2 linked regions of the Oreochromis niloticus genome follow. The protein of the gene in region 2 purifies or fractionates together with the protein of the main gene of each other region. This does not show direct contact. Links are inferred from orthologs where the notes say so. Each region holds a gene or a part of one and is shown on either strand. Other genes may lie near its edges.

Evidence for each region. The genes of interacting proteins can lie anywhere in the genome.
Region 1: the proteins of wwox (region 2) and vopp1b purify together in Homo sapiens (affinity purification with mass spectrometry; 3 studies listed by BioGRID and IntAct, with this or other methods). This does not show direct contact. The link is inferred for Oreochromis niloticus from reciprocal best matches to the Homo sapiens genes WWOX and VOPP1.

Annotation. Positions count from the first base shown.
Region 1 is NC_031974.2:30,754,681-30,758,432, forward strand, and holds the start of vopp1b (vesicular, overexpressed in cancer, prosurvival protein 1), read left to right. Parts: upstream 1-1,567; 5' UTR 1,568-1,822; coding exon 1,823-1,873; intron 1,874-3,752. UniProt on the Homo sapiens protein: Increases the transcriptional activity of NFKB1 by facilitating its nuclear translocation, DNA-binding and associated apoptotic response, when overexpressed. May sequester WWOX in lysosomal vesicles and thereby regulate WWOX role as tumor suppressor.
Region 2 is NC_031972.2:56,177,241-56,180,992, forward strand, and holds the start of wwox (WW domain-containing oxidoreductase), read right to left. Parts: upstream 2,729-3,752; 5' UTR 1,914-2,728; coding exon 1,669-1,913; intron 1-1,668. UniProt on the Homo sapiens protein: Putative oxidoreductase. Acts as a tumor suppressor and plays a role in apoptosis. Required for normal bone development. May function synergistically with p53/TP53 to control genotoxic stress-induced cell death.

The sequences.
Region 1 (3,752 bases), on a different chromosome or scaffold from region 2:
TGGGGTGGCAAGTGCCACCCTAAAATGATCCCTTGCCACCCCAAGTGCCGCCCCAGTTTTGCATATGACAGTGTTGTTTATTAAAATAGCATTAACAGTTCGAGCGTAGTTACAGTCAACAGTGAATATAAATGCTAAAACTGAATATATTGAATAGTGTTACCCCCCTCCACCATTAACAAATGGTTCAGCCCATAGCAGGACCGGCTTTTTTCTTGTTTTCAGTAGCAAGCCATGCTTATGATTGTGCCAGAGCACATTTTGAACAACACCATGGGAATTTCGGATTTTACACAGGTGGTTGGATGTTACACTCTGCAAATGGAAGCAAGGTGAGTGTTATTAACTCTCTGTGGTCCACGGGCACGCTGCACCTCCAAATCACATGACTATGTTAAGCTGACATAGCAACAAGCTGCAGCCACGCTGAGTCTCTGTTTCAACCCAGATTGAAAGTTCGCACTTCAAAGTATATACATTTTAATTACAGGCCAGTAAATCCAGGGTTATGATTATATATATAAGCCACGCTTTTTTCTAAATACTGTCGTCATGTTTTTGTGTGTGTGTTTTAAGCGTTTTCTAAGGACAGCGCGAAAACAGTAAAGAAAGGAAAAAAAGCCACCTCTTTCCTATCGAAAATGTACCATGTCGAATTTTTAAAAAGTCAACACGTAGGATTTGGTTGTTTAGGAAGAGGGAAAGTTTTGGGAGTGACGGTAATGGCAGCGAGATAGAGAGAGAGAGAGAGAGAGAGAGAGAGAGAGTTTAGATGTGGGAGATTTGTGACGTTTAGTGTGGAGTGTATACTTAGTGTGTTGTGTTGTCTTGTGTAGTTGTTCTGTTGTGTAGTCGTTTTGTTTTGTGTGTCAGTGAGGGCACTAATGAACACAAAGGCACATTGCAGTGTAAACACTGTCACTAAGTAGAAAACCAGCGGAGTGATACACCTCCTGTTGTCAGGCCTGCAGGTTTATCTTTAATTTTGCCACCCCATTTGGTTTCTCTGCCACCCTCATGCCACCCTAAGAAAATTTCTCTAGATCCGCCCCTGGTGAAACGCCTTTAGTTAGCTCAAGAAAAGATGTCGATCCTCCATGTAATACCTTCAGGAAAACAGGCTTTGTTTTTCATCATGACGGTGATCCTAAACACACTGCCGGTGAAGTGAAAGACACACAAGTGAACACCATCATTCATGCACTGCCCTAAACATTGTGTAAGAAGTGTGGGATCATCTCGACAGAGAACAGAAAACAAGACTGCTAACGTCCAAAGAACTGTTCTTCAAGAAGCCTGGAGAACTGTTCCTGCTTCAAGAAATCACCAGAAAGCTTGCTTAAGCGAGTTCAGGCTTTTGATGTACATTTGCACGTTTTAGATTACTGCATCTATTTCTCTAGTAAAGTATAAAGAAATGAAGGTGAGTCGAAGCTTTTGCACTGTACTGTACATGTGTTGGATATGAAGTCATAGCCATTGTTCCTCTATTCTACGGGGAAGTGTAATGTCCTATGAAATGAGGAAACTGTGTGCGTGTGTGTGTTTGTAGGGCAGAGTAGGGGGTGGGGGGCTGGGAAAGGGGCGTGGAATAAACCAACATCACAGGCTATTGCAGCTTCCCATCATGCCATTTAATCTCCGTTTTTGGTCTGTTTGACCGTCGCCCGGGTTGCCTTCATCTGTCCTGTCAAACCGGCTGGATCTGCTGTCTGTGTCCGCCAGCGGGATGAAACCGACATAGAGATAACGGAGCAACCCCTCCACGGTCTCCTCCTGTCCACAAGCGGAGCTTTGCTCCCACTCTCCTACCGACGGAGATATGAGACATCCACTGCTCGATGCAGCCCTGACATTGTGGCTATTTGTAGAGGTGAGGTGTCCTCCGGTATTACTGTGGTATTAATAGAGCTGTGACGGACAGGCACGGGTTCTGGGTGACGCCGCTGGCCGTACCTTTATAAGGCTTTCGCTCGTGCCTTGTTGTTGTGCCGGGGCTGACTGTGATGTAGTTCCGATACGTTAGTGCCGACAGATCAGACCTAACAGAACCCGGCATACCCCGGCTCAATGAGAAAGGACCTCCGCTGTATGTGCGGCACTCTTTGTCAACTTCATGAACGGCACAACGAGAGACGCTCGAATATCTGAAAAAGCGCAACGTTAAGCTGGGATATAGCAACAAAATCAGAAATGTCAAAAAAAGGCAAAGCCAGTGGGATTGTGTTCGTGCAGAATAGAAGAGTGTAGAACAGTAATATGGCTTTTACCCCCACATGTGCACATCGGATTGTTTGAGTGGGTGAGCTACCTGTGATTCTGCCATCCTTTGTCTTTGTGCTCAGACCCCTATAACTCCTCAGTAGGTTACTGGGCCTGTAGGACACACGGCAGCAGTCTGAATCAGTGTACACGCAGTCATATTCATATTTCTTTTTGTAGTGTTGGTCTTTTCCTTTGATATCCTCTGATGTACCCTTCTGCACTTTTTGGGGCTATAAGGATCATTTAAAAAGAGGTGAAAACGAGCTCTAGTTTAATTTTACAGCCTCTGAATGTAGCTCACTCTTTCTATCAGCCTTGCATTGCTGACACTCCTGTCTATTCATGTAATATTAACCCTCATCATTACTATTTTATTTCATTCAGCAGATGTAGTGAGCACACATTCATTTTGAATTCAAGCAGGCTGCCTAGATGGAGTCAAGCCCTCAGACCTTGTGCTGCTACTGCAGTGTCCGCTTTGAGGACGAGTTCTGACAGCTTAGATGTTTAGTGTCACTTATAATGCCGTTGACTCACAGAAAGCATGCATTAGACCCTGGGACATGCTTCTTCGGGTAATAATAACCCTACAAACAGTGGTGCTGTTTAGTTTTCTTCACTTATGTACAAAGTGATAGCAGAGCTGTAACATTTTGGTTCTTAAGAAATCCCTGAAAATGGAAACAAGCAAACTAACTTCCTGCTAAGTTCTAGAAATTGGGCTGTTTTTAGCTCTCAGTGATGCCAGTGTTTGTTTGACATTGGGAACCGGAAATGGCAGCATTGGGAAATATTTATAAAATAAATATTAGACAGCAGTAAGCTATATATCTTAAAAGTACTGTAAGTGGGTTTGAACACTGTTTTGCAACAGAGGCAGCAACTAATGAATCCTGTGATCTTACTGGCTTTCTGTTAGATGAAAGCAGATTAGGAGAAGTCACTGTTTCACTGTTTGCTGGGCTTGAGAACACTAGTAAAACACAGACTCATACAGTGTCTGTGTTTTACACCTGAAGTGTAAATTCACCTGAAGAGATATTAAAATGTCCTTAAAGTGGAAACTAATTCATTCTCTCATTGTGGCCTGTGGGGCCTCACTCATGTCATGGTGGCTACTTCAGGTTTTCTTTTCTTTTTTGTGTGATCAGCGCTCTTAGAAGGTTTAAACTTTCTGTATGAGCTATGAAGCCTGAAATAAATTAGATTTACAATTATCAGGGACTGTTGATTAACATTATAGTGGTGCTTTGGCAGTCAAACCAGTTCTAACTGGTTCTTTATTATGACTTTTTAAAATTTTTTACTTTGATAGAAAGGACGGAGTGAAGGGTATGACGCACCGAATATGCTCCATGGCAGGCTCACACCCAGCCTGCTCAGCCAGGTGAACTATAAGCACATGGAGGCGACTGCTGTTTTGATTGAGTTTGGGGGCATATTCTTAAATCTGAAAGCTCACTTTGAATGTTGTTTTTTCTATTAAA
Region 2 (3,752 bases):
GCAAACCAAGAAAGAAGCCACTGCTCCAAAATCGACAAGCCAAATGCTTTCTGGATAAAAGAGACAAAGATTGAGCGTTTTGATCACAATCCCCAGAGGTATATTCTGCACAGTAAATGTGATGCTTTTAAACCTGAGAGCACTGTGCCAGCTGTCACGCATGGTAGTGGTAGTATCATGTTCTGGGGCAGTTTTTTTGCCAATGGTGCTGGTACAGAGGTTGGATAAACTCATTAGGAAGGCCAGCTCTGCTCTGGGATGCACCCTGGACCCAGTGCAGGTGGTGGGAGACAGGACTCTGGCCAAAATAACATATCTGATGGACAGAGTCTCCCACCCCATGCATGTAAATGTTGCTGAACTGCAGAGCTTCTTCAGTGACAGACTGCTGCATCCTAGATGCATGAAGGAGCATTTCCGCAGGTCCTTCCTCCCTGCAGCTGTCAGATTGTACAAACAAAACTGCTCCCAACAAACATAGAATATCAGCGCTGTAACTTGCACTATTTTATCAACCGATTCACACTACAACCTGGGTTTGCCTCTTATCTGTATTTCATTTTATTTAATTTTAATAACTGTACAGTACTCTGTTTTTGGTAACCATTGTCCTTGATGTAAATATGTAAAAAAAATTGTGTATGTTTCTGTTCCGTCTCCTGTTTGTTTGTATATGTGTTTTTCTTGCTGCTGTTACAACAAAATTTCCCCTTGTGGGACAATTAAAGGATTATTCTATTCTATTCTACACTGCACAAAATGGACTGAATAATGAAGAAATACTACATACAAATTTTTCAACTTCATGTCAAACCAGCCGTTGCTCCAAAACACATCAAAACGCTTTTTTAAACAGATAAAGCAAGCTAACATTAAGGCTCTAGAATGACATTCCCAAAGCCCCAAAGCCTGACCTCTAATCTATTTAAAATTTGTAGACTATGTTTAAAAGCCAGGTCTGTGCTAGGAACCCAACCAATTTAAATGAACTCTACAAATTCTCCCAAGAAGAGTGATCAAGTATCCAGACAGGAGCTTGTTGACAGCTACTAAAAGCATGTCATTGAGCTGTTGCTTGCTAAGTTTTATATATTGTACATATTTGAGCCTGGAAGTAGATTTTTAACCTTGTGTGGATTTGAGAAAATCCTAAATAAATTCAAACAGTTCAAAGAAATCAGTAAATGCCCCACATTGACTCCATGACTCCTCATGTCTAAGATGAGTAGATATTCTGGTCGATATTGTCATGATAGCATCACAGCATCACACACTTGCTACAGATTTTTCAGCTGCACATCCAAAAGGTACATTTTTAACGCATTATCCCATTACTGAGGAGGGTTGTGACTTTATATTTCAGCGTAAGTGTACAGCATGGCAGCTAGTGGATAGTGACACTACGGCAGGATAGGTCGAGATGACAAACTCACAGACTTATCAAAGACTAACAACAATTAGCACAAACCCTACAGTGAAATGAGGACGGCACACTTTATAACACAGACTTTACATTTCAGTTGGCAGAGGTTTTTAACAAGTGTAGCTAGCAGGCTGTGTTAGCCAGATGATAATAGAAATGGCATGGCCCTGATGTCAGTAGGTGTTAGGACTGAACTCATACACAGACATGCTTGCTGATAGCGTTAATAGTGAGATCTCACTTACTTTGCATAGTAGACCCAACCATCTTTAGTAGATCTCTCCTCCCATCCAGGTGGTAACTCATCCTCACTATCTGTATCGTCCATACCTGCGTACTTCAGAGCTGCCATAGCTTCCAGTGAATGATGAAAATCAGAGAGAAATATCTGCTCTGGAGAATGAATGCAGATGTCAGAGAGAGCAGAAACACGGACACGGCGATCCTCCAGCACTTCCGCAACAACACGATGACGACTGCCGAACTGCATTTTGGGACATTGAGGCGGCAGACCATATGCTTAAGGATCCGGCTTTTTGTGATTCAAATCGTGCTTCTGTTATGGCACGGAAGCTTGTTTCCGCCACCGAAAAAAAGATGGCAGCCAGAGCGAAGTCGAAATTTCGAGTTACTGTCTCAAGTTTAATTTCGTCGTTTTTTTCCATAAGCTTAAAGGCTTTATGTTAAAGAACACTGGCTGGGTTTTCTCTCAGCCTTTGATCTGGGTATATAAATTGTAAGGCTAAAGTAGGAGAATAATGTGGGGAGATGTTGGAAGTGGGCAAATAGAGCTGTTGATTTATGTAATCAGATAAGTCAGGCCCACTGACAAAGAAACAGCTAAAGTTTTCTGATTTTTTTTTTTTTAAATCTCCTCCCAACCCTTTTATTCTCCACTAATTAATCACCTTTCCTGTCATAACTACGCTTTTGTACACATTTCAGACATCTATCAACCAAAGAGGTCACCATGCAGTTGGGCACGTTTTACCAGTATTACCTTTTCTGTCTATTGTAATAGAAACGTACCCTACAGACTATCCAAGAGGGCCAGAGGAAATCTGAACAGATGACAGGGCTAAACCTATTGGGGACAAAGGTAGCATTAAACCACCTCATTAACTAGTCAACACAGTGGAATGACAACAACTAACAAAAGCGAATTAGTTAGAGCTATACTGCCTCTAAATGTTCACACATTTAAATAAAAAATAGATGTAAAAATGTTTCAGATATAGCTAAATGTGTTCTGTTTTTTTTTTTTCCCATGCCTTGAAATTCGACAACTGCCAATGTGACCTGACCAGCACAGCTGTTCCCCATCAGCTCAGTGGCTCTTTTGTATGCAAAATCTGTGCCCGTCTCTTGCTTCTCTTGTTCCTGCCACTTGACCTGCCTGTTGTGTCTGTTAACCAGTTTGTGCACTTGTTACATGTGTCTTTTCTGTCTGCAGAGTCTATGTTTTCCACAGAATGGCTGCAAAATTTCTGTGGAATAGCACACCGTTGATAAATATAACTGATAATAAAAATGTAAAACAGCACAATACTCACATAATCTTGTTTCATAAAGGATGATCCAGTACATCTTATAAAAGGAGATAAAGAAAAGGAAACACTAAAACACCTTGCCTTTGTTTTAAATGGCCACCACTTAGACATTTCCATGTCATTTCATGTGGAAACAAAAGCAAAAAAGTAGAAAATAAAAGAAACCTAAAACATCTGCAAGTTGGCCTTTGTGCACTGGATGATTTCATAGTGGCACAGCCTTGAGCCCTAAAGGATTTAGCAGGACTGTGCCTCAAAGTCTGTGGATATGGAGACAGGGATTAGGCCGTATAGACTCAGAACAAGGTGTTTAATCCCTGTTGCAAGTTTCAATATGTTTTGGTCAAGCTCTGGTGCCACACCAACAACAACACCAAGAGCAACAATTAGGATTTATAAGGACCTATTGGCAGGGAAAGAGAGATTTTGCATGCCCGTTGCCTGAAATGCTGCAGTTTGGAAGGAGGCCCGTGTTGCCCTAGCCCAGACTGCACCAGCCAAAGAATGTCCTGCAAACAGTTCCAGGCACCCAGCCTCTAACCAAGATTCAGGTCAGAAAATGTGGTTGTTCTCTGATAATATCTAGATGAAATTTCCCAGGACCATTTGAAGAGGCCATCACCCATCTTTCAGTGTTTCCCAGTTAAAACGTAGATCTTGTAGTGCACTGTTCCCTGTTTCCAAACCCTTCCACCTGATTGTTTCATAATTTGCCCTCATTGTCCAATGTCGGATGTGCACTGCCACGGTCACTACTCAGTGGAGGGGGTAGTGACCAT